Linked DNA regions of Notamacropus eugenii. The protein of the gene in region 1 purifies or fractionates together with the protein of each later gene. This does not show direct contact. Links are inferred from orthologs where the notes say so. Each region holds a gene or a part of one and is shown on either strand. Other genes may lie near its edges.

Region 1 (7,938 bases):
TGTTACAGTTGAGGAAACTGAGGCAGGCAGCAGTTAAGCATCCCCTCATCTTCCCCTCTTACAGCTAGGAAATGTCTGGGTTTGGATTCAAATTTAGGTCTTCCTGACTCCAGGCTTGGCACCCCATCCACTGTCCCACCAGCTCCTTGGTCAGTGGGGTTCAGCAGAAGGATGAGCAGAGCTGCTTGATGATAAAATCAATGTGGGCTCTTGTCTGATCCATTTAATGCAGATAGGAAAGCTGTGGGGCCCAACTAGAGAGCCCAAGGGCCCACAGAGGCACAGAATCAGAGCAGGCAAGGACCCTTCGGCTTCCAGGCCAGCCCACACTGTAGTAGAGAGGAATCCCCATCCTGACCAGCAGACTTTGATACTGACCAGTGTTGGTGCCCTCCCCCCTCCACCTCACCCCTGAGAAGTCTTTTCCATGATGGGACAGTTATATCTCATTGTTGGGAAGCTTCTCCCCCACTGGGCTCAGTCTTATCCTCCAGAGACAAACTGGACAGTCTGCTTAGTTTTGAAGATAGCCCCACGTCCCTCAAATCTTCTCCTTCAACTGATCCTCCTTCCTCATCCTTCATTGGGACACTCTCCACTTAGCAATGAATGGCCTTGTAAGCCCAGAACTGACCAGAACACGCAGATGGGTCTTAGCAGGACAGAGGATGGGGCCTCCATATTCCTGGAAGAGATCTCTCTCTTTATTCAGCTTCTGGCTGCCATGTCACATTATCTCCCATCTCTCGGCCTCTTCTTCACTGTTTCCCATGCCCCATCTCCACCCCTACCTTCCCTAGCTTCCTTCAAAACTCAGATCAAATCCCACCTTGTTCAGGAAACCTTTCCAAGAGAAAAAGACAGAAACAGACAGACAGGGACAGACGGACAGAAGGACAGGAATTAGAAGCAATGGGATATTTTGAATTCTTTTGAAAACCTGTACTCTCCTTTTCCTGTTAATGTTATTACTGTAAGGGGATGACTAGAGAACACCCAGTTTAAAATTTCTAGTAGCAACCCCATCTGCAGAACACACACATCTGGTTCCTCATGTCTTGTCTCCCCCGTAAGACTGAATGGCTGGAGATGGCCCTCAGCTGTAACCTGGAGCCAGCCGGTCAAGGACAAATCCTCTTTGCAACAGTCGGCCCTTTGGACTTGCAAAGACAGCAATCATGCATCCTCTGACTCCAGCTCTGCTTTGGCTAGAAACTTTGAGGGTCTTCCTTCTCAGACTGAATTTTTGTTGTTGACTAGGTAAAGAGGTCATTCTTTGCTTTATTTCTTACCTTGCCTTAACCAGTGAATGGGCACTGCCTCAGTCAAACTGAGACTTGGGAAAGACCTCAGCTTCAAAAGGCATCCTGGGCTATCTCTGGTCGTTCTGATCTGCATCTCACTACTGGACGCAGGGGGCTCCGGAGGAGAAAATGAGGCCAGCGATTTTGCACAGCCCTGCCTCACTTCGATCCAATTTAGGTGCATATCCTGGAAGGACAAACAACTTCTGTGAGTGGAGAATAGGGTCCCCATTGGGGACCCAACTGGAACTGGCCAGTTGGGCAACACAGCTTTATTTCTTCTTCTTCCTCCCTCAGTCCCTCTCTCCCTCCCTCCTCTCCTCTCCTCTCCTCTCCTTCCTTCCTTCCTTCCTTCCTTCCTTCCTTCCTTCCTTCCTTCCTTCCTTCCTTCCTTCCTTCCTTCCCCTCTCTCTCTCTCTTTCTCTCTCTCTTTCTTTCCTCTCTATCCACATAGGGTATTATATTCTTATCTGTGGGTACTCTGCCCAAAGGAATGTAATATTTCATCCCTGAAAGCTTTTTTTCCCCTTAAACATCACTCCTCAAACCCAAATCACTTTGGTTCTCATTGACTGGCCAACAGGAGATTCCAGGTCAAGGCCTTGATTGACTCAGAGTGACTGTAGATAGCAATTGTTTCTGTTTTGGTCTGAAACCCTGATGGTCTTCCCTCCCTAGATTGATTTTTTTTTTAATTAAGTAAAGAGGATATTCTCTGCCTCATTTCTTACCCAGCCTTAATCATTGAATGGATGTTGCCCCAGTCAAACTGAGACCTGTCCAAGACCTTAGCTTAGGTCTAGCCAAAGTCCCCATTGCATCCCAGCCATCTCCAGTTGTCCTGATCTACATCTCACCAGTGGATTCAGATGGCTCTGGTGGAGAAAGTGAGGCTTGTGACTGCACAGCCCTCCCTTACTTCTATCCAATTCACTTGTGTGTCTTGGCATCACCTCCCTGACGTCAAGGTCCTCTTTGAGAACCAAGGACAGTCAACAACAGACTGACCTGCTTGAGAGATGGAAGTCTTTACTCATTTCTTTGGCTCTCCATCACTTAGCAAAGTGCTTGATCCACACAAAGCTCTTCATAAGTGTTTGCTGGATGGTTGGCATGGCAGCGTTGTTGGACATTGTTTGGGGCTGGAGGCCGATTCATCTTCCTGTCTGTGTGAGGGCTCGTCCTTGTCTCCTCATCTTTCCCCTAAGAAGAAGCTGAACCCCTTTATCAGATGCTGGACAAAGCTCTGGCCACCAGCTGCTTGCAGTGTGCCCCTTGATCTGGGGTCTTGTCGCCCTCTTCCCAGCACAGTTTCTGAGTGATGGCACCTCTGGCACTACCAGTGCTCCCACCTCCTCCTTTTCCAGATGCTTGTTTAATGGGCCCTAGAATTTTGCCAGAAAGCAGTCCTGTTCACAGGCCCCCAGGTTGCAGACTTCTCTGTTATGACTATGGGGGCACACACCCTTGGGCAACTCTGCTCCTGTTCTCTCTGACCACTCAAACATCCATTCAGACTGTGGCTCCTCAATCACTGGCCCATTCTTTTGGGACCTGGGCACATGTGTGTGTCCCTCGGTGCTCTCCTTAGCTTAGGGATCAACCGTCTACTAGCTTTTATCATTCCTTTATTTACAGGCGAAGGTCAGGCTCTTTGGGGGCTGGGGTGGGAGCTGAAGCAAAACCCAAGGTGAGCAGCTCTGTCTTTTATCTGGTCCAACCAGAGCAGAAGGGCTTATCTTTCCTTTGATTATGCCCTGCTTGGGCCAAGATTTGGACTTCTTGGGGCAACCCTGAGGGGCTAGGATTTTTAGTATTGTCATTCATGGGTCCCTACTAGTGTGCTTCCAAATAATTATCAACCAGTAGCTCAGTTGGCTTAGAGTAATGGTGTTTAATGAGGAGGGACGGTACAAAGGGTTGATACAAAAATTGTCCCAATCAGAAACATTCTTAACCAGCACACCCAGTGATGGGAGAGCATTGAGCCCAAAGGTAAGAAGGCACCAGTGTAGGGGAAGTGTGTCAAAGGATACCCTCACAGCTCTTGGGGAGCACAAGGCCTTCTCTCTCTGTCTCTCAGTCTTGTCTTCATGTAGTTGCTTCCTTATAGCTCTCTACTGGTCCCTGAGGGTCAATATTTTGGTACAATCCACCCTGAGGGGGGTTCTCACTACTTGAAGTTGCTTCTCTCTTGGTTGGCCATCTTTGTACATCTGCGTTTGTGTGTATTTGTCAAGATTTGCTTTCTGAGTCACCGGCTCTGTTCCAAGCTGAATTTGTGTGTCATGGTCATTGTGGGGTAGGGATTGGCATGCCCCTGCCATTTGCTGCGCTCTCATAGAGGTGTAGGGCTCTGCCACCTCAGGGCCCTGCAGAGCCTAGGGTCCTCCTCAGTGGATGCACTGCTGCGCAGGCCCTGGGAGTGTGTCTGAGTGGGTCAAGTTTAAGGTATCTGTGGGATATCATTCTGAGATGTGTAAGTGGCAGCTGGAGATGCAAGCTGGGACCTTAGGAGAGAGGTGAGGGCTGGATAAACGGATCTGGGAAACAACAGCACAGAGCTGATGGCTACATCCGTGGGATCTAACGGGAGCGCCAGGTCAAAGACTGAGCTTTCCTCCCTTTCCAGAGCCCCCAGCCCAGGACATTTCCAATTCCATCCCAGCAGCCCCTCCCACTTCCCAATGCAATGAGTTTTGCCTCCTATCTCCATTGTCTAGCAGCCTCCCCTGCTTCAGCGCCCTGGCTCAGGGATTTAGTTAGGACCGGAATAGAAATGGCTGCATCTCTCTGGCCCTTTCCGGTTTGCGGAACACTTTGGGGAAGAGAATTAGCGCCCCCGCCCCCGCCATTTTCCAGATGAGCGAATTGAAGCTCAAAGAGAGAAGTCCTGGGGAGCATGGGCAGAACTCTAACCCAGGGCCTCGACACTCCTGGGAGCTGGTGGTGAGAGAGACAGACAGGCAGAGAGACAGACAGGCAGAGAGACAGACAGACAGACAGACGGAGGGAGACAGGGAGGGAGGCCACAGGCCAGTGGACCCACCGGGCTTTTCGCTCGGAGCCCCCCAAGATGAGGGCTCGGGACCCGGGAGAGCGCGAGGAGCCCGGACCCGGGGAGCGCCCCCACCCACCCCGGAGGGCCCGGGGCTTCAGCGATCGGTGAAGCCGCCGGCTTTAGGCGGCCCTGGGCCTGGTTGGACAGCGCCGAGCCCGGCTCCTTCTCCTCCGGCCTCCATCGCCGGGCCCAGGGCTCAGCTGGGGAACCGACCGGGTGGTCCCGGGCCCGGCACGGATGCCAGGCTGTGCCCCCCTCCCCCGCCCTGCCCCCGCAGGCGGGATGCCCGGCCCAGGGGCGAGGGGGAGGGGCGCCCGAGAGCGGGGGGCGGGGCGGGGCCTGTCCCGGAGGGCGGGGCGGGGGCGGAGGAGGAGGGTGGCCACTGAGCGCGGAGCAGAGCCGAGCCAGAGCGGTGAGCTCAGCGAGCGCGGCGGCGGCGTCTGCGGAGGTGCGGGCGCTGCGCGAGGCCGAGCAGCCAGCCGGAGCCCCCCGAGCTCCTCCCAGAGCCCCCCGAGCCCCCCGAGCTCCTCCCAGAGCCCCCCGAGCCCCCGGAGCTCCCCCCGGAGCCCCCCCGGAGCCCCCCCCCGAGCCCCCGGAGCTCCTCCCAGAGCCCCCCCGACCCCCCGGAGCCCCCCCGAGCCCCTGGGCCCAGCGCCCCCTGAGCGCACAGCCCCGGCCCAGCCCCCGCCGCCGCCGCCATGGGGGTGGAAGGCTGCACCAAGTGCATCAAATACCTGCTGTTCGTCTTCAACTTCGTCTTCTGGGTGAGTGGGGGGCCGGCGATCGGGGGGCGGGGGCGGGCCTGGGCGTGGGGGGGTCCTGGCCTGCGGCCGCCGCGATGCGTGTGTGTATGCATGGTGTGTGTGTTGGTGTGGTGTGTGTGTGTCTGTCTGGTGTGTGTGTGTGTGTGTGTGTGTGTGCGTGCGTGGTGTGTGTGCGTGCCTGTCTGTCTGTCTGTCCGGTGTGTGTACGCGGTGTGCGTGGGCACGAACGTGGGGACTTGGGGGGCACAGACAATGGAGGCGCTTCCGAGGGCGCGGATGTTTTGCCAGGGCGATCGGCCCCAGGGAGGGGCGTCCCCAAGGACTGGGAGCGAGGGGAAGTTGTCCAACCACCTGCGAGCGCCTGTCCCTCGGTCCCTCGGTCCCTCGGTCCCTCAGTCGGTCCGTCCAGGCCTCAGTGGGGGCGGTCGGAGCCCGCAGCTGTTGCTGGGCAGCTCTCCCCGCAGGCGCTCTGGGGTGTGGGCACAGCCTCTCTCCGGCTCAGCCCCCTGTGACGCGGGGCGGGGCGCTGGGGGAGCCCTCGGCGTGGGCCTGTGAGTGGGGGCCACCTCGCTTGGGGCCTGGACCGGACTCCCCTCGGATAACGGCCTGGCAGGCCGGGGGGGAGTGGCTCTCGATCCCAGTGGAGCCCCACTCGGGAGATTCCATGACAACCTCGGCTCGGGCCTAGGCCCCACTCGGAGGGGCTGGAGCCAGGCTTGCTCACCCTCCCACGGAGGGGAGTGGACAAGTCCTGCATGAGGGGGACCCAGACCCTGCCAGCCCTGGCATGGGCACCTTCCCCTGGGTTGGCTGCTGTGGGAGCTCACCCAGAAGGCTCGAGATTCGCTTTCTCATGCAGAGGGCTGGGGAAGCTGGCCAGAACAGGCTCCTAGGGAATGTTTGCTGAAGCCACGAGGGAAGAGGGAAAGGGGCGTCTTTCACCCCCCCCCCCCAAAAACGTACATTTCCTCTAAGGTAGGCCAAGTTTCTGAGTGGTGACACCCAAGGCAGGTGACTAGGGGACAGGGCAACCTTTCAGACCCCTTTGGGTTCCAGCTCTGTTCTAAGGGTAAGCAAACAAGTTGGTCTGCCCTTCCTGGGCACGTGGGCCCCTTCCCTCCTGTGGCCCTGCCCCGCCTGCCAGAATCCTAGCTTTAGTGAGCTTGTGTGTTATGTGTAATCTTTGGGTCTTTCTCCAAGGGTGAAGGGCCCTGGGAGGAGCCTGGACTAGGACCACCGGTGGTGCTGGCTCCCCATTCTAGAGCTCCCCAAGGTGTGCAGAGCCCAGGTCCTGCCTGCTAAAGATTACCACCTGTAGTCCTTCGATTTTGTCAGTAAGGGCAATAAAATGAGATTAAGGCCTTGGTGCCCCTCCCCCTTCCCCTGTTTTCCCTTGGGCTCTCTGCCTCCCTCGGGGCTCTGTGTCTTCAGTTGCCGCCTGGGCTGGGGGCTCGAGCTTTCTCTCTCCCAGCCTTAGGTTTTGTGTTTTGTTTTCTGTTTTCCTGGCGTTAGGTTTTACTTTCTGTTGACCCCTGTTCCAGAGGTGGGGGAGGGGGTTTTGTTTCAGTTTCCTGTGCTCAGATTCTTGCTTAATTTTGGAGGGAGGGATGAGCAAGCTGGTGTGTGCGGGTCTCCCTTGTGCAGGCCTGTTCCCTTGCTCTCCTCAGATATCCCCGGGGGACTCTGGGCTCTTGCCCAGGGGGTCCCTTCCTTGGCAGGCAGCCCCCTCAGGTGGAGGGCTCTCAGCCTGATGCCCCCTTTCCCCTTTCATGGAAGGTAAGTGGTTTCCAAGTGGCAGCTTGGGTGGGGTACGTTGTCTGAGCTGAGCAGGGCAGCTAGCCGGTGCAGGTTTGGGGGTCTGGGATGGAGATGGGACTTGTGTGCCTGGAATTCCCCAGAGGGAGCCCTCTGGCCCCCAGGCACCTGGTCTCTAGCCCTGCTGCTGGACACCATGCTCAATAGGAGTGGCTGTCCTTTGGACAGCTCACCTGCTGCTGGCCTGGGAAGGGCAAATAGCAGAGCCCTTATTTGGTAGATGGGCACCCAGAAAGGCAGGAGCCAGGCTGGCCCATGGTGGCTCATGTCAGGAGAGCCAGAGTCTAGACCTGATGCTGGTGCTAACTGATTGTGACCAGGCATAGGCCCTGAGAACAAATGTGAACTTTGCCACTTCTCCCTGTGTGACCCCTCCCCGGTCTCAGTTTCCCCATCTGTAAGATGGACCAGATAATCTTAATTCCCTTCCACCTCTCAGTCTATGATCCCATGTCACTTCTCCCTCTTGAGGCTCAGTTTCTCACTGCCAAGTAGGGGGTGAACCCTACTTTGCTTCCCTCCTAGAGCTGGCCCTGGAGGGTCCAGTTTGGGGAAGGATTGGCACTTCCTGGACCCAAGAGGATGGCACAGAGAGGGTGGGGACCCTTTGAATGTTCTCAACCCTTTCTCACCCCCAACCTCTGAGGTACAACAGACAGAAGGTGACAGAGAACAGCCTTGAGGTTGGGAAATGTGTGTGTACCCAGTTGTTGGGACTTTCTGACCTAGGGAGCCCTGGAGTGCAGAAGAGGGTGCTGTGACCCAGGTTTGTCTTCTGTTCCCCCCGCCCCCAGTGCGTTGGTGGAGCTCTGAGGTTGGCTGGAAGAGGAGGGGGGAAGTGAGTGGTGAGCCTCAGGATGAGGTTTGTGGTCAGGATGCAGGGTCTTCATGATCAGACTGGGGCTCCCTGGGCTTCGGAGGGGTCACCTGCCACAGCGATAGGCTGTTAGGGCCAACCTCAGGAAGGGGCAGGTGGTTAACTGATAAACAAGCG
Region 2 (7,455 bases), about 270 Mb from region 1:
CTGGGAGGTAGGTGCTATCATTATTCCTATTTTACAGATAAGGAAACTAAAAGAAGATAGGGATAGAGTAACTTGTCCAGGGTCACACCCCTAGTAAGTACATGAGACCAGTTTTGAACACAAGTCTTCTTAACTCCAAATCCAGGGATATAACCACTATACCACCTAACTAATATCTAATTCTATGACTGAATAAATGGTGAGGAAAAGAAAGAACCTGGTCATAGAATACTTTGAAAACACTTTTTCTCTTTTTTATTATTGTGAATTTGACAACCCTCCACAAACAATCACTTTCATATACAAAGAATAACAAAAGAGGATTGTATACAGAAACTGTAAATCTCTAATACATGCAGTTCAGGTTTTTTTAAAAGATATATAATATATTTAACACAGCAGTTCCAAGTGGTTCTGCTTATCTGTCTTTTTCCGAGCTTTCTTTTGTTCTCACCTCAATATTTTTTAAACTTTTCATTGATACTCTTTTTTTCTTTTTGTGGCACCATGATTACTTCCTCTAGTCCCCAGTAATTCTCCCTTCTTTCCACCCCAAAGTAAAAGTATGACCCCTTCTACATCTCTAGTCTATCACCTCTCTGTCAGGAGTTAGGAAGCATGATTCACTATGGCCAATGATGAATCATGCTTCCATGATGGCTACTTTTTCAAGGCAATCAGTGAAAGGAGAGAGCTGAGTTAGTACCTTGATGGAGTAGAAGGACTGAGAAAAGACTTTTGAAAATGTAGGATTGCATAGACCTGAGGATGATATTTGTAGGAAGACTGGAAGAATTCAATGGAAAAGGAATGATTAAAAATTCAGAAAAGAGAGGCAATGACTGAAGAATGGAGTTTTTTATTTTTTAACTATTAAGTAAGCTTTGCTTTCATTGAAGGCATCCTTAAACTTCAGCAAACAAAACATTTGAATTTCCACGTGATTTTATTTCACAAGATTTTCAGGGATAACACTTTCCTATATTGATACCTATAATCTGGGTACAGTCAATCCTAAAAGAGAGGCGTTTCTGAGTATCCCTTCAAATGCCTCTATGATGAGTAACAACAGCTGGCAGGGAGAGGCCTTCCATTACAGTACTGAGCAGGAAGAATCTTTTTTGGGAGGTGGTGGTTGGGGGGGAGGGAACAATTCTGTCAGTTGGGATTGCTAAAGTAGTCTTCCTGCCCTGGGCAGGCCTTTGAATCAATGAGATGCAATAAAAAAGACTACTGAATAGGGTCTTACTTAAGCTAGTAAAAGATTGATTATCCTGCACAAAGAAGGAATAAACAAATACCCAATTCATGAATTAGCAAGTTGCTCTTTCCTGCTGGGAACATTGGCCATAGCTCTCTTCAATCAGTGATATATTTTATACTGCAGTGGTTAGGGTCCAGCAAAAGGTGTGGCAGATGTGGCTAACTAGAGGCACTTCTTTCCGGTTTATATGAAGTTATAAAAACCAGGCTGCCTTTGATATGCAAGGATCATTCTACAGACCTACAATAAGTAGGACTTTCAGTTCTATTCAAGCCAGTAAATATTTCATATGATGGTAGATTTAGATTTGGAAGGAATCTCAGACATCAGATAATACAGGGTTCTTAATGTGTGTGTGTGTGTGTGTGTGTGTGTGTGTGTGTGTATGTGTGTGTGTGAGACAGACAGACAGAGAGAGAGAGAGGGAGGGAGGGAGGGAGAGAGATGAACATTTTTGGCAGACTGAAGGAAACTATAAGCCCCTTCTCAGATGTTTCATAAGTGCACAAAATAAAATACATAGGCTTACTATCAATTTATATTGGCACTTGTTCAGTTGTACCTGGCTCTTTGTGACTCCATTTGGGGTTTTCTTGGCAAAGATACTAGAATGATTTGCCATTTCCTTCTCCAGTTCATTTTTTTTACAGATGAGTAAACTGAGACCAAAAGGGTAAAGGGACTTGCCCAGGGTCACACAGCTAGTGCATGTCTTTGACCAGATTTGAACTCATCAAGATGAGGCTTCCTGACTGCAGGCTCAGCACTATTCACTGTGTCTCCTAGCTGCCCATATTGAAACACAGTTATCAGAAATAAATATATATTTTTTTAATTTCACAAACCCCAGGTGAAGAACCACTAACCAACCCCTTCCTTTTACAGATGAAGAAACCGAAGCTTACAGGGATCAATGATTTGCTCAGGGTCACCTTGCTAACAATTGTCTGAGGCAGGTTTTGAATACAGGTCCTCTTACCTCCAAGTTCAACACATTATCCATTGTCCTGCACAGTGTTTCTTGATCTTCCCTCCTCGAATCCTAGATAGTTTTGTTTTCTTTTACCTCTCTGCTAACCTAATCATGAATTATTATAGAACTTGTGTGTGTCTTATTCCTCTGCCAGACTGCAAGGTGTCTTATCTAAAAATTGTCAACTCTAGCTAGTGATGTGTTCCTCACATAGTTGGTACTTAGTGAATGATGGCTGAAATTGAATACCTACTATGTGTCCAGAATTATGACTACATTGTTGCAGATCCAAAACAAGTTTATGCCATGAACAAAATTTTATTCAGCAAACATTTAATAACAGAAACAAGATATTTCTTACCCTCAAGTAACTTGCTTTTTCCTTTATACAAAAATCTCCACCCAAAAGAAACTTAAAATCTGATTGGAGTAGCGGAGGGGAATCACAGAAATTAGTCAAGAAGAGTTTCCAGAAGGGGAGGAGAAATACTCCAGAACATCATTTAGATTTGATGACTGGTGCAAGAAAATGTATGTATAATAAAACGCTAAACTGAATTAATCAAGGGACAAAATGAAAAGGGCATAAGTGATCAAAGAAGGGAGAAAAAGGTTACCTGAAATTACCCAGAAGGCTTAGCTGAGGAGGTGGGATTTGAGGTGGTCCTTAAAGGGGGTGGAGGAGGACGATTTGAATGAGTTTTGAATTATCTTTTTCAGCAGCAGTAATGAACTTGTATTAAACCTGCCATGCTTATAACTGTGCCATAAACAAGAACTTAGGGATGATGCTAGACTTGGCTCATCACAACCTTTCTTTGACTTTTTCTTAGTCAGTCAGTCAACAAGTATTTACATGTTAGGCACCCTTCGGAGAGCTGGGATATAAAAGAAAAAAAGGCAAAAACAGCCCCAGTCCACAAGGAATTCATTTGAATCAGGGCAAAACCATGCTAACAACTCCATACAAGTGAGACATACATGACACATCCACAAGATCAATTAAAGGTAATTTCAGAAAGAAGGAATACTGTGATTTTTTTCCCTACTGTATTAATGAGACACTGGGTTGAGTGGGCTCAGGCAATTTCCTTGATTCCATATGTTTGACTCATTTATGAATTATTCAGACAATGAAGACTAATACCCCACCCCTTCCCAAGTACTGGGCTTTTATAGCATTCATGGAAAAAAACGCTGACCTAGAAGTCAAAAAGATATGTTCCAGTGCACTGTCCCTCTTTTCTTGACACTAACCTATTATGTTACCTTAGACAAATTGTTGAATTTCTCTGGGCCTCAATTTCCTTATCTGTAAAATAAGTAATCTAATGGAAACCTTTCCAGACCTTCCTAAGATTTAATGTTCTACCATCAGAGGTCATTCTGTAGAATGGAATGTTCCTGGAGGCAGGGACTATTTATTATTTCTGTCTTTGTATTTCCATGGCCTAGTACTGGGTTTTGCTCTTAGCAGGTGCTTAATGAATAAAAACTTGTTCGATAGAATCAGAAAATGTAGAAGAAAACCTACCCTAGCCAACCCAGAAGGTTCAATGACATAATGATTATAAAAGTACTATACAAAACTACAGTATCATTACTGGAAAGAAAAACAATACTCTTGGTTACTTTGTTGCATCCTCGTGTGTAAGCTGTATAGACACCTTCAGTCATCAATGTAAGACTCAGAGAGGATCAAACATAAGGCACTGTAGTGATATTAACGTTTCTGTATTTTCATTAGAGGTTGGGAAGGGAGCTGCCCGTCAGAGCAGTGTCCTTACTTTATCTTTCCAGAGAAAAGAGGGAAAGTGGAGGACTCTGGAATGGAGTCCTGCTGGAAGCTCCCATCAGGCGTGGCCCGGATTTAGCGAACGGAGTGGATTTGTGGAAAGTTAAGTTGTGGATTTTCTGTGTGTGTGTGTGGGGGTGACTTTTGGGGAACAGATGCGGAATTTCGCAAGAAGGGAAAGAGTTGCGCTTTGATTTGGGGGAGATTCCTGGGGAGTTATTTGTTCCTAGAAAAATCTTGGGCATTTCCCAACTTTTAAAGGTCGGAGGAGGTTTGGCACGGGGGCGCGAGGGTGGGGGTCTGGAAGTTCTCCTCCCCTTTAAGCGGGCAGCACCCAGAGATCCCCAGAGTGCCGCGCTTCCTCCCCGTTACCTGAAGTGGGGAGGGGCTTGGGAAAGTTTGTGTTTGTTGCTGGCAAAGCGCCGGATGGGAGGCGCGGGCGGGCTGGCTGGCAGGCGCTGCGGTTCTTTCGTTTTGCTTTCGGGAAGCGGTCGGGGCTGCACACTGTAGCCGCGGCCAGCCCTAGCGCCCGGCTCCCCGCCTGCTGCCAAAGAAAAGGAAGGAAGGAAGGGAGGAAGAGGTGAAAGAGGGAGAGGGAGAGGGAAGGTTACACGGCTGCTCTTGCGCGCGAATCGAAGAGGCTCGGTCCGGGCAGCCTTCGGCGCGAGCAGGCGCAGGAGTGGAGTCGGCGCGGGGCGGGCGCGCCGCCCCCTTCCCCCGGGTGCAGGAGCGCTGACTCTGGAGCTGCGGGAGCAGGAGGCAGAGCCGAGGCGAGGCGAGGCGAGGCGGAGGAGAAAGGGAAGGGGAGTTCCTCCCGCGCGGCCGGCCAGCATGGGCCACTCGGGGGAGAGGCCGCTGCTGCTGGCGCTCCTGACCCTTGGTGAGTCCGGGCTGGGGGCCCGGGCCGAATTGGGGGGAGAGGGGCGTGATGCCAGGAGCGGGAGGGCTGCCAGCCGGGGGCCCCGCCACGGTGGGAGGGGAGCGGAGAGGATGGGCGGACTGAGGGGGTGTCCCTCCCCCCCAGCGTGCGGCCTGGGCCACTCCAAGGCTCCGGGCCCCCGACCCCCGCCCCTGCCCGGCTCCTGGGACAGCCTCGGGCTGGGGGCCCTAGAGAAGCCGAGCAGAGCCTGGCCGGGCTTTGGGGCTCCCGCCCACTTAACCGGCGTTTTGTCCGGCGCTTGACCGCCCGGATCCGAGGGAGCCTTTTGGTTGGGGGCGGGGAGGGCAGTAATAGCTAGCCGTTCGTGCTGCGGTAGTCCCCTTTCCCCCAGCCCAGCCAGGCTTGGAATCCACCCGATGCCCAGCCAGAAGGCCAAGCCTTCCCGTGCCCAGACCCAGATCCAGGGCTCGACCGTGGGGGGAGTGGCGGCTGCCTGCCTGGGCTGCTCCAGCTCTACCTGTTGGCAGGAGGGGGAGCCAGGAGGAGGCTTCCTTCACCTTGAACGCCTCGGCCAGGAGGCTGGCTGCCCGCCCGGCTGCCCAAGAGCCCCGGTTCCCTACTCCAAAACGGAAATGTCCCCCGTTAATCTGCTTGTGCTGCAGACTCAGTAACCTTCAGCTCCCCCTCTCCCAAACCCCCGAACAACCGTGCACCACGGCACAAAGCCTGGGTTTTCTTTCGGGAAAGGGCCACCGTACAAACTTTCCCTTTTAAAGGTGACTGATCGGGGTGTGCCGGAGCTACGGCTTTACAATCTTAGTGCACTTTCTCCTTGCTTTGTTCAAGTGCTGGGTGACTGGATCTTCTGCCTGAGGCTTTCCTCAACTTTTACTTGTTACTGGAGCAGCTGCTACCTCTCTAAGAGAAAAAGCCCGAGGCCACTAGTTTCTCAACTATTTACCAACAACCCTGCCCGGGCCCCCCTCCCCGCCCCCCATGCCCTTCTGCCCTCTATCGTTTCTACCCGAATCCTTCCATCTCCATAGTCTGGTCTTCAAACTCTTGCAGTTTCTTTCTCTGATTTGCATACATCATAGGCATGGACACATGGGCATGGGTTACTGCCAAAGTCTGAGCCTGTCAGATGCTTGGGGACTTCTGGACGTAAGTCACCGAGCATTTATTATGGGCTTCCCGTGTACAAGGTCACTTTGCTAAACGCTAGGGATACAAACAAAGGCAAAAATCATGGAAAACTAGGCTTGTGCACTGATGATTGGACATCTGCCTTCTCGGCTGAGTTTGGGAAAGAGTATTAGATTTGGAATCTCAAAACCGAGGTTGAAATGCTGTATTTTCTAACCCTCAGGCAAGTCAGTACCCTTTTCCCGACCTCATTTACCTATCTGTAAAATGAAGGAGTTGGACTTTTTAAGATCTTTAAGGTCCTTTCCAGCTTTAAAACCTCTGGTCCCATGTACAGGGCCAACCCAGAGCTGTTCAGTCATCCCCAGTGACTTTCTCTGTGGATGGGACTTGGACCAACCTAGCCCCAGATGCATCCTTGCTGTAGGGCTTCTGGGCAGCTTAAAAGCCAGAGATTCCCTGTGGATTCCCCTCCTGACTCACAGAGCCTGTTGTTAACTCCCACCACCAAAGCTGAGTGTGTGTCTCTCCTTTAGCCGCCCCTCCCTTCTCACTAGCTCAGGCCTGGTGCCAAAATGAGGTTAAAATGAGAGGGTGAGAGGGGTAAGATGGAAGCTGCAGCTCAGTTTTCCCCTCTTTCACATCTGTTTGAGCCTTCTAACGCCTTCCTTGAGGGAATTCATCCAATCACATGGTTTCAGTTACCACCTATATGTAGAACACCTCCAGATTGCCCCCTCTCACTTTCATCTCACCTCTCTCTTCCAAACCTCTATTGCATTAGAAACCTCAATCAACTCCCTTGATCCAGTTGAAAGTTTATTGCCTACTATGTGCTCGTTGTTTCCAATATAGCAATGTTGAATCCTTGCCCTCAGAAAACTGGTATTCCCTTGGGGATAGAGGTGTGGGGTGTATACAATACATAGGAATTATACATAGGAAACAAAGGAAAAGAAAATAATTTCAAGAAAGATTGCCAATGATTGGGGTGACTGAGAAAAGCCTCATGTACCTGAGGCACTTTTTGAAGGAAGTTGGGGTGCGCATGGAAGCCACATGAACAAAGATACAGTAAGAGGCAGGAGATGGAATGTCATTTCAAGGGAACACCAAAGGGACTCCTTTGGAGTATAGTATGTGAGGGTAGTAATATGAAATAAAACTGGAAAGGTAGGTAGGAGTCAGTTTGGGAAGAGCTTTGAAAGCTAGAGTCAGTGGAGAGCCATGGAAGATTTTTGAGTAGGGGAGTGACATAATGACCTTAGGTAGCCTTGTGGAGGGTGGATTAAAGGAGGGGAGACTAGAAGCAGGAAGACTCATTGAGAAACTGTTACTATGGAGGGTACCATCATCATCCCAGTCACATAGGCTCCCAGACTAGGCGTTATCCTCAA
Region 3 (7,334 bases), about 360 Mb from region 1:
GGTCTGAGCCTGTGACTGTGTGCATATATTTGTCAGTGTATCTTCATTTGTTTTTGTATATCCTGGTGTATGTCTGTTATATCCTTGGGTATATCATCAGTGGGTGGGTGAGTGACACGTGACTCTGCCTCTGGGTACATGTGATGCTAAGATACCTCAGCCCCTGTGCAAAGAGTGTGCCCACAGCAAGCAGCAGATGGGGAGTGGGCGGCAAGTTGGTGATGAGCAGCGAACACAGAAACCAAAAGGGCTTCTGTAACTTCTGCATGCACTGCTGTGCCCAATACCCACTCCACCCCACCCCACACATCTGTGTCTGCATCTCAGTGACAGGCTCTGTGGCTAACCCATGCCATAGTCACCTAGAGTCTGGGTTGGCACTCGTCTAAGACTGCCTTCTGCTCATCCACCTCTGCAGGGTGTGGTCTTACCTCACTAAGGAGCACTAGTCCTGGGGCTGGGTGCTGGATGCTAGATGCTTGGGGCTATTCCCAGACCCTGTCTTATAGAATCATGGGGTTATTGCTGGAAAGGACGTTAGAGATCATCCAGTCAAGCTCCCCTCCCCCCCCCTTTTTTTAAACAGGAGACACCCATGACTAGGGAGATTATAACTTGCCCAAAGGTATGCAAAGGTAGCCTGGTCAGGATTCAAACTTGTGACTTTTGATCCCAAATACAAGTCTTTTTCTACTACCCCTCCTTGCTTTCCAAGGTGTCTCTGGGTTTCTAATATTTCTATGAAGTTGTTAAGTGTGACATTACAGTGTGCATACTGTGTGTTCCATCTGTATGTGTAATGGATTTCCTGACACAGGGTGTGTATCTCTGTGTGTAAGAGACATATGGTCACGGTGTGTAAGCTCACATGTTCCCTCCTTGTCTCCCCTGCCTCCCAGTCCTGTTTTTCTTAAGTTATATAAGTGTCTGATGGGCTGTGCCAGGACTGAACTATGGGCGCCCCCTGCTGATAGCCTTTAGAACTCACAAACTGGGGATAGAGGGGAGTGTATGCACCTTTCTTTGAGGGACCCAAAACAGACTCTCTGTTCAGTCCCTAGCTCCTCCCCACTCCCAGCCCATGCCTCTGCCCCTAAGCCATGAGTCTCAGGGTTGAATATTTGGCTTTTTGAAGAGAAGAGAAGGAGTCAGGGGAGAAATGAGGATAAGTCCTCCCTCCACTAAAAGGGGTGGGGGGGAGGCAGATCACAACCTATTCCTGGTTTGTTTTTTTTTTTTTTTGCTATTCTCGTTCATGTCTTTCCATTAATCCTACATAGAGGGGTCCACTCAACATAACAGAGACCTTCCATGGTGGGGGGGCAGCGGGGTGAACTAGACTGATGATTCTACTGGCATAGAGAACTCTGTTGTTGGAACTGCCATTACCCATGCAGATTGCTTTGCAAAACAGCACAAGAATTCTTAACTTGAAGGGGTGGGGGGGGAAGCATGTTCTGCAAACTTGCTTTAAAAAATAGTCTGATGAGAGTATTTTTTTAACATTCATTTAAAAAAATTTTTGAATACCAAATTCTCTCCTTCCCTCTAGCCCCTGCCTCATCCATTGAGAAGGCATATGATACCCATTATACATGTGAAGTCATGCAGAACGTATTTCTATATTAGCCATGCTACAGGGACAACAAAGCAAGAAAAATAAAGTGAAAAACAATAAGCTTTAATCTGTACTCAGATTCTCTCTCTGGAAGTATATAGCATTTTTCACCATGAGTCCTTTGGAATTGTCTTGGATCACTGTACTGATCAGGGCAGCTAAGCCATAGTTATCACTGTTACTGATGACTGTATTTCAGTATAATTGGTTTCCTCTGACTTTTATTTTACGTGTTTAAAAACCTCATTCACGGTGTCTGGCACATAATACATACTTGTTGGCTTGACTTGAGAAGGGGCTCATAGGCTTCATCAGACTACCATTAAAAAGATCTTAAAAAGTTGTCTGGGACCACTGAGAGGTTGTGACTTGCTCAGAATCACAAAGCCTACATGCGTCAGAGGTAGGCCATAAAGCCAGGTCTTACTAATATAGGACTGGTTCTCCATCCATCACATGATGCTGTCTCTGGTTCTTTTTTAGTATTATTTCAAGTCAGTGCAGAGCTTGATCATTTGATCTGTCATCTCTCATTCTCGCTAAATGGTAAGCCTACCTTTTTTTGTGGTCCTAATTCAATTCAATTAAACAGGTGTGTCTGAAGGGCCTACTATAATAAGCTAGGCATTGTGCTAGGTGCAGGAGGTACAAAGATAAAAAAGAAATAATCCCTATTCTTAAGAAGCTAACATTCTACTGGGGGGAGGGGAAATAGCATGTACATAGATAAGTAAATACGAACTATTTTTCCCCCAGAGGATAAGAGGGCTCTAACAACTGAGAAGATCAGAAAGAAAAAAAACCAAACAAACATTTGGGTAAGAGTTGAGTCTGGAAGAGAGCTAGATATTCCAAGAGGTGGAAGTAAGATGGAAACGCATACCAGTCGTGGGGTACAGACAGCCTAGGCAAAGGCATGGAGGTGGAAAAGGGAATGCTGTGTACGGAAACCTCAAGTAGGCCAGGTTGTTTGAAATATCCTGTAAAAGAGAGTCCCTGGTACCGTTTATCATGCTACTTTCTCATTAAAAAGTCATTATTGGTAATGTGTTATAGCCTACACACTTTTACAGACGATGTCCCTTTCCACTGACCTTTGAAGTCACCATTTTGGCTTTTCTAAGATGGTGTTTCATGAGTCACCATCACTAACTCAATTTAATTCAACATTCGATATACTATTTATTATTGAGAATATTGAATTAAAAAAAAAGATGGGTCTTTACAGCAGAACGCAGCTTTGAATCCTTAAAAGTGCTGCATTCATTTCTCAAATTGTATGCCAGAATGTTAGTAAAAATGAGAACTCTGCTCTTTCTGCCCCTCAACCCTGACTGGGTCCTGGAGGTGCTCGCAGGAGAAAAGGACTGGAGGGGATAGATAAGGAAGTTTTCTTTCCCTGCTCTGAGTTCTCAAGCTCCTTCTCAAAGGCCCTCTGTTCTCAACCACTCATACCTTTCTCAAAGAGACACAGAGATGAAATTCTCCCTTTACTTGGCTTCCTCCTTGTTCCTACGACCAGCCTCCTCTTACAGACAGAGTCCTGCCTTTTTTTGTCTGCAAGATTCCTGCAGCTCCAGAACCTTAGAGCAGGAGTGGACTGCCTATGTGCTAACGATAAGCTAATGATAAGGGGCCAGGCTATTATCTGTGAGGAGAAACAAGGAACCAATGAATTTATTGATCTTTTACCAGGTGCCAAGTACAAAAACAAAAACAGTTCCTATCCTAGAGGAGATTACACTCTAAAGAAGGTGACGAAATGTACACACCAGTATATTCAGAATGCATGCAAAAGGAATACAAGGTAGTTTGGGGAGAAGAAGCCTAATGGCTGGGGACAGGATTGGGGGATCAGACCAGAAAAGGTTTCATGCAGAAGGGGGCACTTGAGACTAGTCTTGAAGGAAACCAGGGATTCCACAATACTGAATCTGGAGTCAGAAGACATCAGTTTGAATTCTATCTCTGCTCCTGATGAAGTAGGTGCCCTTGAACAAATCACTGCCCAGCTCTGAGCCTCAGTTTCCTTGTCAGCAAAATGAGGGGTTGAATTAGAGGATGTCTACCTCAGATCCCTCTTTTCAACCTCTAAATCTTGTGGTTCTGTGAATCACAAGTGCCAGACAGGAAGGAACCGAGGTAGATCCTCTCACCCAGCCCAGGCCTGCAGGCAGCACCCTTCTCGCCCCACCCCGGGTCTGGTCTCAGCTCTTCCACGTAGACGAAATTCCTCCTGTTGCATAAGTTTCCTCTCTCTTTTTCTAGCAGCAATGGAGACCAAAAGCAGCGAGCTTTCATTCTTCCACGAAGCTCTGAGTGTGCTCTCACCCTTCTTTCTGAGCCTACCCATTCACTTGTCCCAGCCCTCCCCCCAGGTACTCCCAGCCAGCTGGGAAGGCCCCAAGGCCCAGAAGGAAGCAGCCCCCCCCAAACCCTCGCTGACGTCACTTGCTCCTGGCTTCTTTCTCCCCCTCAAGGGGTACGCCCCTCTCCTGAAGTTGGGGGGCCAGCGAGGCCCTTGGGGCAAGCTGGAGGGGACTGGGGAGAGAGGCAGCGCCAGGGGACGAGGCACTGGGAATCAGAACGGGAGACAAGTGCCAACCATTGGCCCCCGGAGAAGGGGAGGGGAAGAGGCTGGGCAGAGGCGGGGCCTGGGCGGAGTCCTGCCCAGCGGAGGGGCCAGCCTGGCCCAGAAGCGCCAGGGGAGGGAGGGGGAAGGCGGGCGGGGAGGAGGCAGAGGAAGCAGGGGACGCGGCCGCCCGGGCTTGGTGCGCCTCTCTCGTCCAGCCGGGCATGCGCCCCCCGAGCCCTTGGCCCCCCAGAGCCCGAGCGCCCCCCGGATTCTGCGGCGCGCAGCATGGGAGCCCCCGGGCGCACTCCGTGGCTGCCGCCGCTGCTGCTACTGCTTGGTAAGGAAGCGGAGCCGCGGATCGCCCCGTGCCTTTCCTGCCCTCCGTCCCGCCCGCCCGGCTCGCCCCCTCCCGCCTGAGCCTTGCCCCTTCCCCTGCGCCTGTTTGGCGCAGCAACCTTGGCGGGGACCAGGGCATCCTCTGCCCCGCCGGGGCGCCGGGGCTGGGAGTTTCGTTTCAGCCCCGCACTGACCGCCCCCGGGGCTCCGCCACCCCCGGCCCGCAGGACTGTGCCCAGCTGGCGTCTGTGGCCTCCGGCTGAGCCGATTAGGAAGAGGGGCAGGGGGAGGGAAAGGGGCTTCCCAGCTCCAGGCTCCTCCTCTCCAGCTGTTTGGGGGAGGACGGGGCGAGGAGCTGCTGAAGGGGCTAGCTACCCCACTGAACTCGAACGCCATGGCCAATCTCTGGGGTGCCATACCACCCCGGGTGCGTTTCTCTGTACCAGCATAGCTAGACCCTAGGAGTACTGCAGCTTTCTGTGCCTGGCCTAGGCGTGGGCAGTGCCCGCCCTCGTAATTGCCTCAGAGCTGGTAGGAGGCCAAGGGGCTGACTCTGCCCAAAATCTTTGAAGTCTCCCCTAATTGCCCCCTTGACTTCACTAGAAGATTGTTTCCTCAGGGGCAGTGACCCCTCTTGACCCTACCCCCCCCCCCCCCCGTTTTTGGTCAACTCTGGGTTCCTTCTCTGTTCCTTTACTGTGTCCTAGCTTTCCAGATCCCTCTCAGCTTGGTGCTCCTTTCCAGCCCATTCTGCCCTCCTCCTCCTCTAACCCAAGGCTTCTACTTTCTCCGAATTTTCATCAGGCTCTTAACCCCTTTTCTAGCCAGCTGTCTCATCTCCCTTCCCTCCTCCCCCAGTGTCCACACTATTATAGGTTTCTTACCCATATTTCCCTTCCTGGACCATTTGTCCCCTCCATTAGCTGTTGCAGTTAAGTGGCTAGGCTATAGGCAGTTATGGGGACTTTCTTTTATCACAAAGCCTTGCTCTAATCTACCCCATCCTCCAGTCTTACCAAGTGTGGGGCTCAGAATATATTGGCAAAGACAGATGTGGGAAGTCAGTCTCTGATAACATCAGCTGATCTCTTTGGAGTCTTTAATCCTAAAATCTCTAAGCACCATTTGCCCCTGGCATTGCTGTGTGTAGGGGAACTACCCAGTGCAGACAGGAAATTTAGGCCTTGTGCCTTCCTATGCCCAAAAAAGGTGTCGTGGGAACATGTGCAATTTATGATGTCAGTCAATAACTAGTTAAGGTTTGTTTGACCTGCGCATGAGGGCTTCCTGGAGAAGATAGGGAGTTGGGGGAAGTAAGACAGTGGAAGGATTGAATTGTATTCTAAACGTAGAAAACTGATGCCCCATTTCATTCTCCAGTATTTATTTTAATATTTGAGTCTGAATTGGTAGAGTGTCAGTAATAATTGTCCTAGTCACCTATTTTTAGGCCAGAGATTTGCTAATGCTTCATGATGTCCCCAAACTCCCCAGCTCACTGAGTGGACTCCTGGGTCATGATGGTTGGAAGAAGATGTCTTTTTTCTCCCCACCTGTCCCTGGGGCTGGGCAGCTGGAGAAGTAGGGACCCACGGGAAATGGTTGCTTAGCACATAGCCTGCTTTTCTCGATAGGCAGTATGATGTTCAGGCAGGAATCCTAAGGGTTTTTTGGGGGAAGGGGGAGGATGGGTGTAGGAGGAAGGAGGAAGTAGGTTGGGATAAACCTTGTAGTGGTCAATTCCAAAGATGAGGGTTGCTTTCCCATGGGGATCATGGAGCATCAACTTGCAGGTGTAGGAGTCTGGGAGTGGGGAGAACCGCTCTTATAAACCGAAGGCCAGACCTGATACAGTTGGGTAACTTGGTAGTGGTTTGGTCTCTTTATTGTCTCCCTGGTTATGAAACCTTCTAGAGGCTGGGCCCTTCTGACTCACAGACTCATAAAATTCTAGAACCAAAAGGAACTTGAGAAATAATCTCACATAAATTTTATATTCTACAGATGAGGAAATTGAGTCCTAGAGTGGTGGGATGACTTGCCCATATATATGGACCATTAATGTTAAGTTGAAATGGAATGGAAACAGTGGTATAAAAGTGGAAAGAGAATTATGCTTTACTAGCCTTGGGCAAATTACTTAAATTCTCTAAGCCTACAAAATAAGAATGATAATACTTATACAAACTCCTCCCAGTGGGCAGTTGTAAGTATGCAATGAGAAAACGCATGTAGACTGATTAAATTGTAAAGGCCTAGATGATATTATTGCACACTATCAATTGGTCAAAAAGCATCTATTCACCATTTACTATGTGCCTGGCACTGATGCATTGTACCCTGAGTCCCACATCTAATCCTCCCCCTATTCTTTTGACCCTTAGGTGATCAAGTCAGGAAGAAGCAGCCGTGAATTTTAGAGAATGTTAGAGATGGTTAGGGGAAATTGAGAATCAAAGATTCCCAGTTCTCCTCATTACTTCTTGGTCCCTGTTAGAAAGTGGTGAATAGGAAGTGGCCTCAGAATTCCAGGCTGAAGGGTTCTGGAACACTAGATGATTGAGGCTGTAAGAACCCACGTTTTTCTGGTGGGAGGAGGAGTCAGGCCATGACAGTTCGACCTGAGATTTCATCTGGCGCTAGTGTTTCCCTCCAACCCTAATCCCCAGGGACACTCCCATGGGAACCTGGGAAGGTAAAGATAACTAGAGAAATATTGGAGAGTGAGGCAGCCCTGGAACTGAAGGCACCGTGGGAGAAATAAGGAGAGGGAACAGACCTCCAGCAAAGCTCAACAAGGAATGT
Region 4 (7,701 bases), on another chromosome or scaffold:
TTGGTAATTTTTAAGGACCAAGATTAACTATAAGGGAAGGGAATGAAGAAATCTACCTGATTATTAAAATGATTATTCATAGTTGTTAATTCTCATGTTATTTCTAATGTACTAAACTTTTTAAGGGAAAATATGGCAAGGGAAATCCAAAGGGTCTATTCTGAAAAAAAACAACTCTTGTTTTCATCTTTGTAAAGTACTAATATTTCTATAGAAACAAGCCTGGTGATTGTTTTTTATAAGTCAAACAAATGTATTCTACATTTCTAAGTGAAATTAAAATTATTTTTTGCTTTTCTATCTACCACTTTACTTTCCAACAGAACCAAACATTTCTATATGTTTAAATCTTACAAAAATCAGCTTAATTAGGATCCTAAAAAATGTCCTAAGAGCACAGTAAAAAATGTTTTTATAACAATCATACTTGTCAACTTGACACTTTAAACACACACTTAAGTGTTCTTTTAAAATTATTTAAGTGGCCAAAATTTTGAAGACTTAAGAAGCTGAGCTAGGAACCAGGAGACCTATCTCTTCCATAAACTAGCTATGTGACTTTGGGCAACTCATTTAACTTCTCTGGCTCTCAACTTCTTCCTTTTATAAAATAAGCCTGGATTGCCTGATCTTTAAGATACCTTCCAGTTTTGTGTTCTTACATTTTGTGCACATCCTATCTCATTTTACCCTTCATTTCCCAGTAGATGACAAACTTCTTAAAGCTGAGGACTGCCTTGAGCATTCCCAGTGCCTACAAGTGTCAGGGTTAATACTTCCTGTTTCTGTGGAATATAATTAAATATTGCAGAGACCAGGTCACACTGAAAATCCCTTAGAAATATATCACTTTGTCTTGGAACACAAAAGACACTAACAATCCCAGTAATTCCCTCCCACTCAAAAATCAGTTTGCAAAATGAAGCATTACATTTTATACAGTATCTACATTTTACTCAGGAAAACTTCACTATTTATGCTAGAATTACTTTAATATTAAAAGAAACTGATACACTAAAAGTTCCTAAGCATGATTAGGAAGTCAAAAAAAAAGGTGCCAAATTTTGTGACTTTTTAGTGTCCAATTCTGAGTGTGATACAATGACAATAAATGAATAGACTACACACTGAGAATACAATAAGCAGTTTCCAATTTTAATGAATTTATAATCTATCTGGGGGGATGAGATAAAAGTTGTATACAAATAAGATCATAGTATACCATAAAGCTAAAAGGAACTTTAGAGATCAGATAGTCCAATTTAATTTTATAGATGAAGCAATTGTGGCCCAAGTAACACAACCAGTCTGTAGCAGAGGTACGTTTCCCTACTCCCAAACAACACAGAACATATAGCCCTAGGGCTGGGCCAGCCTTGTCCTCAGGAAGACCTGCTGTTCAAGCCCAGCAATTGCAGGCAGGCCACTTAACAGGCCCACAGAACACTTCAGATGGTAAGTTCAGAGAAGCTGCTGATCTGCTTCAATAGAGGGTGTCCCCACGCTGATGAAGTTACAGCCCAGAACCAAAACAAAACTGAGCACTGTGAAAACCCTGAGTATAGCGATCTATTATTGGGACAAAGGTATGCATTTAAATATTCACTGTCTGTAGTTCAGCAAAGTTTGTGTTCTTACGCATAAAAACCTAAGGAATTTGGGGAAAATATCCAAAGTTCTCGGTTATATTCATGTTCCTTACCTACCAACTTTTTACGCTTCAGGTTTCGTCCCGTACCCATTACATCCATGCCCACACACACTTAGGGGCCATGGTAAAAAAAAAAAAAAAATTAAAAATACAGCACCGGGAATCTTAAGGGGGAATACAACGCCACCTCAACACTGGTATTTTCTAGGCTGAAGGACTTTTTAAATCATAAAAGTAAGAGACAATGGAAAATACAGAAAGAAGGTCTAGGGCTACTTCAACTCCAAAGTCAAGTTCACGTCCATACCCAGCGCGCACAAAGTCCACGGGGCGCCGGCCTCTCCTAAGCCTGGCCCCAAGTCCCAGGGGTGACCACAGAACATCTCCAGAAGTGACAGGCCGCAATGCCACCCAATGCCACCCAACCCCGGCCGGCCTGGAGAGCCAGCTGGGCACAAGTCCGTCCGTGCGTCCGTCCACTCGGGGCCACTGGCAGAGCGGCTCCAAGCCCCAGGAGGGCTCTGGTCCAAGGGGAGCAGAAGGGGAGGAAGAGGAAGAAGAAAGGGCAGGGAGGTGATGGGGCGCTCGGGGAGAAAGAGGGGCGGGTGGGAGAGGGGAAAAGACACGGGCAAGGGGGAGAAACAGAGGGAAAGAGAGATAGAGGGGAAAGAGAGAGGGAAAGAGGGATAAAGTGGGGGAGAAGTGAAGGGAAAGAGGGATAAAGAGGGGGAGAAGTGAAGGGAAAGAGGGATAAAGAGGGGGAGAAGTGAAGGCAAAGAGGGAGCTCAAGGGAGGGCTCGAGGAGAAAAGGTTGCAAGGATGGAAGGCGGAGGAAGGGCCGGCAGCAAAGTGGGGGAGGGCCGCGGCCGGAGCGGGGGAGGGGAGCGCGGGCGGAGGCCGAGTCGGAGGCGCCGAGGGCAGGACGAGCCGGACCCGGCGTACCCCCGGCTCTCCTCCCGGCCCCGAGGCAAGAATTCCTTGCCTTAAGCGGAGGCGGCCCGGCGGCCCCACCCCCACGGCGGACGCCCGCTCCCTCCCGACACAAAGAGCGGGGCCGGGCCGGGGCTGCCTCTCCCTGGGTCCGGTGCGGGCCGCCACGCGCGCCCCGAGCCCCGCCGCCCCCCGCCACGGGCTTCCGCTCACCTCGCCGCCGTCCGCGCGGGGCTCTGTGGGGCGCGCACGCTCGGGCGGCGGGCCGCGTGCTCTGGGCCCGGCCTGGCTCTGTCGCTGCCGCGGCCGCTCCGAGATACTTTCCCGGCTCTCCCGGAGGGCGGGCAGGCGGTGGCAGCGGCTCGGGCTCCGGCTCCAGCTCCTCCTCCGGGGTGGGAGGAGGGGCGAGTCACTCCCTCGGCCTCCTCCCCTTCAGGAAGGTGGCGCGGGGCCCCGCCCCCCGGCCACCGCCCTCCTTCTCCAGCTAGCCAATCCGCATTGTCCTCCCGCCTCTCTCCTGTCCCCTTTCCCGTCGCTGCCTCCTCCGCTCCCCCCTCCCCACGCGGACCCAGCCCCGCATTCCCTCCGGAAACGCATTCCTCCCGGGCCGCGTCAGCCGCTCCGCCGGCGGCTGAGGGAGAGGACGAGGAGGAGTCGACGGGGGAGGGCGGACCGAGGAAGTGGCGGGAGGGCCTGCGGGGAGCGGCCCGCGGCCTCGGGCCCCCAGCCTCAGTTTCCCTGTCTGTCAAAGTCGGCCAGGCTCCCGTCGCGAGAGGGGCTCCGGCGGGTGCCCAACGCCCGCCCTTCCCAGCCCGGGCCGGCGGCGCCCCCTCCGGCCCAGGCGGGCCCCAGGCCCAGGCCGAGCCTCCCTCGCCTCCGGGTCACCGTCTGGATTGGGAGATAGCCGGGCCGAGGGTCTGGAGCTAAAGACTGGAGAGGAAAATAAAGGCTGTGGTCTGGGCTAGACCGAGACCCCTCCGGGCCCCTCCGCAGCCAGAGTGGGGAAACTGAGGCCGGAGGCCGCCGCCGCCCCCAGCCCCCTCCCAGGCCAGCCTGGACTGAGCTGCTTTCGTGCCGTATCGCCCCTCCGCCCTCCCGTCGGAATGGACACTTCTGGGAGCAGCCACTGCTTCCCTTCTTTGCGCCACGGAAGCCCTAATAAATACTTGTTGATTGATTGGCCCCCCGGAAAGAGGAGGTTTGGATCCCTGTCACTCCGGTCCAATTTTCCCCTCCCAGGTCGAAGAAATATTTTAAAACAGGTTTATTAAAAAAAAAAAAAAAAAAAGGAGAAGAAATAGTACTCATTGTGAGAGTTTTTGCATAGGCAGGGTGCTTTTTAGATAAAAGGACTCGAAACTGAATACCCAGGTCATACAGAAACCCAGTTAGTTACTCAAAGCCTACTGCCTGGGCACCATACCATCTTGTGGCACTGAAAATTTGGCTGTTTGGAAAGTTGTGGCTTTGGGCGAAGGGCATCCTGAACTGTAGACTTGAAGCTTAAAGATCTTATTTCTGATGGAAAGAGGAGGGCAGGAATACGCTTGGCAACCCAGTTTGAACCAAACCTATAAGGAAATATAGCTGTATTTGCTTAGATGCATCAAAAGATGAAAATTTTACTTAACACTGGTAGAGTGAAATCTACTTCTTTGCCCTCATGAGGTGAGAATTACTTTTTCTACTTGAAATTAGCATTGGTAAAATGGATGTAGCTCTACACCTGGCATTAGAAAAGATATAGGTTAAAACCTTAGGTCTAATAAGTACCAATGGTGCAAATTCATTTGATCTTTCCAAGCAGCAGTTTTTTCCCCCATAAAAATGGAGAGACTTCTCTTGAGGAACAATGAGATAATGTGTTACAAAGTGGTTTGCAAGCCTTAACTTTATAAATGTCAGTTATTATTAGAAGAGAATAAATGGCATTTGAAAATATATGTCCTACTGGTAAAGCCACAGAGAACATAGATCCTTGGATTTGAAGAGGATTGTATCGTTACACAAAATTAGCAACACCTGTAACAGCAGAGGAAAACCTTATGGTTTATTCAATTATCAAACTGGAATTAAACCTTTTAGCTTGGCGTGTTAAAAAAACAAACTTGTATTCTTGCTCAGCTGACATGTGATATTCAACTACAGTGTTTGATTTAATTGGTGTTCAATTAAAAATTGGAAACTATGTACTTATGTTCAGCCTCAGGTTAGTTATTGTTGCTATTTGACAATTTGATTTAAATTTCTCTGTAACTGTTTCTTGAATGTCAGGTGACGTTTCAGAACCTAAAAGATTTTCATCTTTCAGAGTTGAGTAAAATATCACTTAATGTTGGCAAAACAATTATCTAGTGCTATACATATATATATACATATATGTAATATATGTATGTATGTATATATATTGTGTTCAACTGGATGTTACAATTGATCTATTAACAGCATGTTACTAAATATGGTGCCCCTTCAACTACTTACGTACTTTTGATTCAAGTAACCATTTTTAGTGCCTACTATGTATAACGTCGAGGACCAAAAGACAAATATGTGAAAGTCCTTGGCTTAAAGGGACTGCTGTGGAGATACAACATGTACATAAATAGTCTAGGACAAAGAAAACCATGGAGGAAAACTGTAACAACCTAAGGCAATCAGACAATCAATAATGAAGGGGGAGGTGGCGCCTTAGCTGAGCTGTGGAGGAAAGAAGACCGATTCTGAGAAGGGAAACTGAGAAATGTACAGACCAGATATGGAGAAGAACATGGTAAGAATGAATAATGTACCAGAAAGTTGGAGAATTCAAGGAACAGAAACTTCTTGAAGGGGAGTAGTATGAAGCTGTAATGTTAATTAGAGAGCTAAAGATCTTCCCCAGCGATTGATGGGCCTGCCCATTAAGGAAAGCTTGATTAGGGGAGGCCCACCCCTTTTGTTACTTTCTATTGAGGCACTGGGTTAGAAGGTGCTGTCCTCTGGCTCTGAAAAATGTATAAATACTTTGAGGAGAGGTTTTGTTTTGGGGCTTACTCATTGAAAGTGTTTGGCCAGACAAGACTCTGGGCAGCCTCTAAGGAGCCCCCCGGCTTTGAAAACCCAGATGCTGGTGCTTCTCTGTCTAGTAACTAAGTATGTATGGTCAGACAGTTGGATCTCTCTGTTGATCTGTGTTGTATGTATTGCTTACAGTCTGTCAGTTGGAAGCCCTGCCTGCTGATTATTATTTCTTTGTATTTTCTCTGAAGGTCAGAGAGCTGACTTTTCCCCCTGAACTAAGTGAATGATTCATGTGCTTGATTAAAGTGATTGTTGTCCCCTCAAAAGTTGCTTTGCTTTTAGAAAAGCAGGTCTAAGAACTTATACAGCAGATCCTCCTGTGTATGCCAGGGTCCTTGCTGTTACAGAAGCAAAGCTAGAAAAGTTGGTGGAAATCAGATTGTGGAGGGTCTTAAATGCCAAACTAAGGAATTTATATTTTCTTCTAAGGCAATGAGGAGCTACTAGAGATTTTTGAGCGGCATGGTCAGTTGTATTTTAAGATCATTTTAGCAGCTATGTTTAGGATGGATTGAAGGAAGAGACACTAGAATCCTGGAGACCAGTTAGGAGGATATTGCAGTAGTCCAGTGAAGAGGTAATGAGGTTCCAGATTAGAATAGTGAGTCTGTAGGTGGAGAGAAGGGTACCGACAGAAGAGATTTTGTGTAGCTAGAAGCAATAGGCACTTGTTAAATTCTAGGCACTCTGAATACAAAGACAAAGAAGAAACGGTCCTTGTTATCTGACAAAAAAGAGTTTCCCTTCTGTAGGGTGGGAGACTATGTAGACAGATAAGCATATACAAAGTAATTTTGGAGGGAAGAGCACCCACTAGAGCAGGGAGCAGGAAGACAGGATCAGGAAAGGCCTCAGAGGGGGGAGCGCTTCATCAGAACTTTGAAGGGAGTTCAGGTCTTTAACAGGAAGAAATATAGTACAACTTTGTATAAAGGCAAGGCTACAGGGTGCAGCTGATTTGGCAATAGACTGAATATGAAGGAGATGGAAGGATCAAAGAAGGTTATGTGGTTAGAATTTGGGTGACTGAGAGTATGTTTCCTCAACAGAAAGAAGGAAGTTTGGAGGGGTAATAGGTTTGGGAAGGAGTGAAATATATTCTACTTCGGACCTGTTGATTCTGAGATAAATACAGGACATCCAAGAGAAGATATCTAGCAGGAAGTTCAGGGGAGAGATTAAGACTGGATATTTATACTCGGTAGTTATTTGCGTCCTTGAAAACTGTTGAGATCTCTAAGAGAATTTATATTTGCTTTTCTATGCAAATATTGGTTTGTGTGAGTAGATGTCTTTATTTACTGAAACCCAGACAGGCATGTATATGTATGCTGCTGTGCTTCATACAATAATTCTGCTGCCCCGTGGTCAGTAGTTCATACCCTTTATGCATTTTTTGTCCAGAAATGGTGGATGGATTTTAACTCGGGTTCTCCAATGCATTCGCAAGATATTTGATGAGGAATGCTGAGTATGGTGTTAGAACTGTAAGATACTAATACATAATCTGATTGATGCTTACAATAGCACTGTGGAGTAGGTAGTACAAATATTATTATACCCGCTTTATAAAGGACAAACTGAAGTTATTAAAGGTTAAGTGATTTGCTCAAAGTTACATGGCTATCATGTGGCAGACAAGGCTGGAACACCAAGTCTTTTTTTTAATCATTAAATTTTATTTTCAGGAAGATCTATCTTTTCTCCCACCTTTCTCCTCACTCCTGATTAAAAAGGCAGCAAAAAACAAACAAACAAAAAAGCCCCAAACCTCCTCTTACAAACTTGTACAGTCAAGCAAAACAAATTCTCTCCTTGGCCATGTCCCCCCAAAATAGGTCTCAGTCTGTGCCGAGTCCTCTCTATCAGGAGGCAAGTAGCGTATTTCATCATGATTGCTCTGGAACTGTGATTAGTTATTGTTTTGATCAGGGTTCCTAAATTTTTCAGAGTTGTTTGTCTATACAGTATTATTGTTTTTATATAAATAGTTCTCCTGGGTTCTTCTCATTTCACTCTGAATCAATTCATGCAAGTCTTCCCAAATTTCTTTGAAATCA

Evidence for each region.
Region 2: the proteins of CD81 (region 1) and PTGFRN purify together in Homo sapiens (co-immunoprecipitation; 7 studies listed by BioGRID and IntAct, with this or other methods). This does not show direct contact. The link is inferred for Notamacropus eugenii from reciprocal best matches to the Homo sapiens genes CD81 and PTGFRN.
Region 3: the proteins of CD81 (region 1) and IGSF8 purify together in Homo sapiens (co-immunoprecipitation; 3 studies listed by BioGRID and IntAct, with this or other methods). This does not show direct contact. The link is inferred for Notamacropus eugenii from reciprocal best matches to the Homo sapiens genes CD81 and IGSF8.
Region 4: the proteins of CD81 (region 1) and ITGB1 purify together in Homo sapiens (affinity purification with western blotting; 4 studies listed by BioGRID and IntAct, with this or other methods). This does not show direct contact. The link is inferred for Notamacropus eugenii from reciprocal best matches to the Homo sapiens genes CD81 and ITGB1.

What each region holds. Positions count from the first base shown.
Region 1 is NC_092873.1:25,498,926-25,506,863, reverse strand, and holds the start of CD81 (CD81 antigen), read left to right. Parts: upstream 1-4,933; 5' UTR 4,934-5,063; coding exon 5,064-5,129; intron 5,130-7,938. UniProt on the Homo sapiens protein: Structural component of specialized membrane microdomains known as tetraspanin-enriched microdomains (TERMs), which act as platforms for receptor clustering and signaling.
Region 2 is NC_092873.1:296,754,647-296,762,101, forward strand, and holds the start of PTGFRN (prostaglandin F2 receptor negative regulator), read left to right. Parts: upstream 1-4,455; 5' UTR 4,456-4,863; coding exon 4,864-4,912; intron 4,913-7,455. UniProt on the Homo sapiens protein: Inhibits the binding of prostaglandin F2-alpha (PGF2-alpha) to its specific FP receptor, by decreasing the receptor number rather than the affinity constant. Functional coupling with the prostaglandin F2-alpha receptor seems to occur.
Region 3 is NC_092873.1:385,035,000-385,042,333, reverse strand, and holds the start of IGSF8 (immunoglobulin superfamily member 8), read left to right. Parts: upstream 1-4,332; 5' UTR 4,333-4,478; coding exon 4,479-4,530; intron 4,531-7,334. UniProt on the Homo sapiens protein: Member of the immunoglobulin superfamily (IgSF) that links tetraspanin-enriched microdomains to the actin cytoskeleton and plays several important roles in innate and adaptive immunity.
Region 4 is NC_092874.1:72,861,031-72,868,731, forward strand, and holds the start of ITGB1 (integrin beta-1), read right to left. Parts: upstream 3,003-7,701; 5' UTR 2,795-3,002; intron 1-2,794.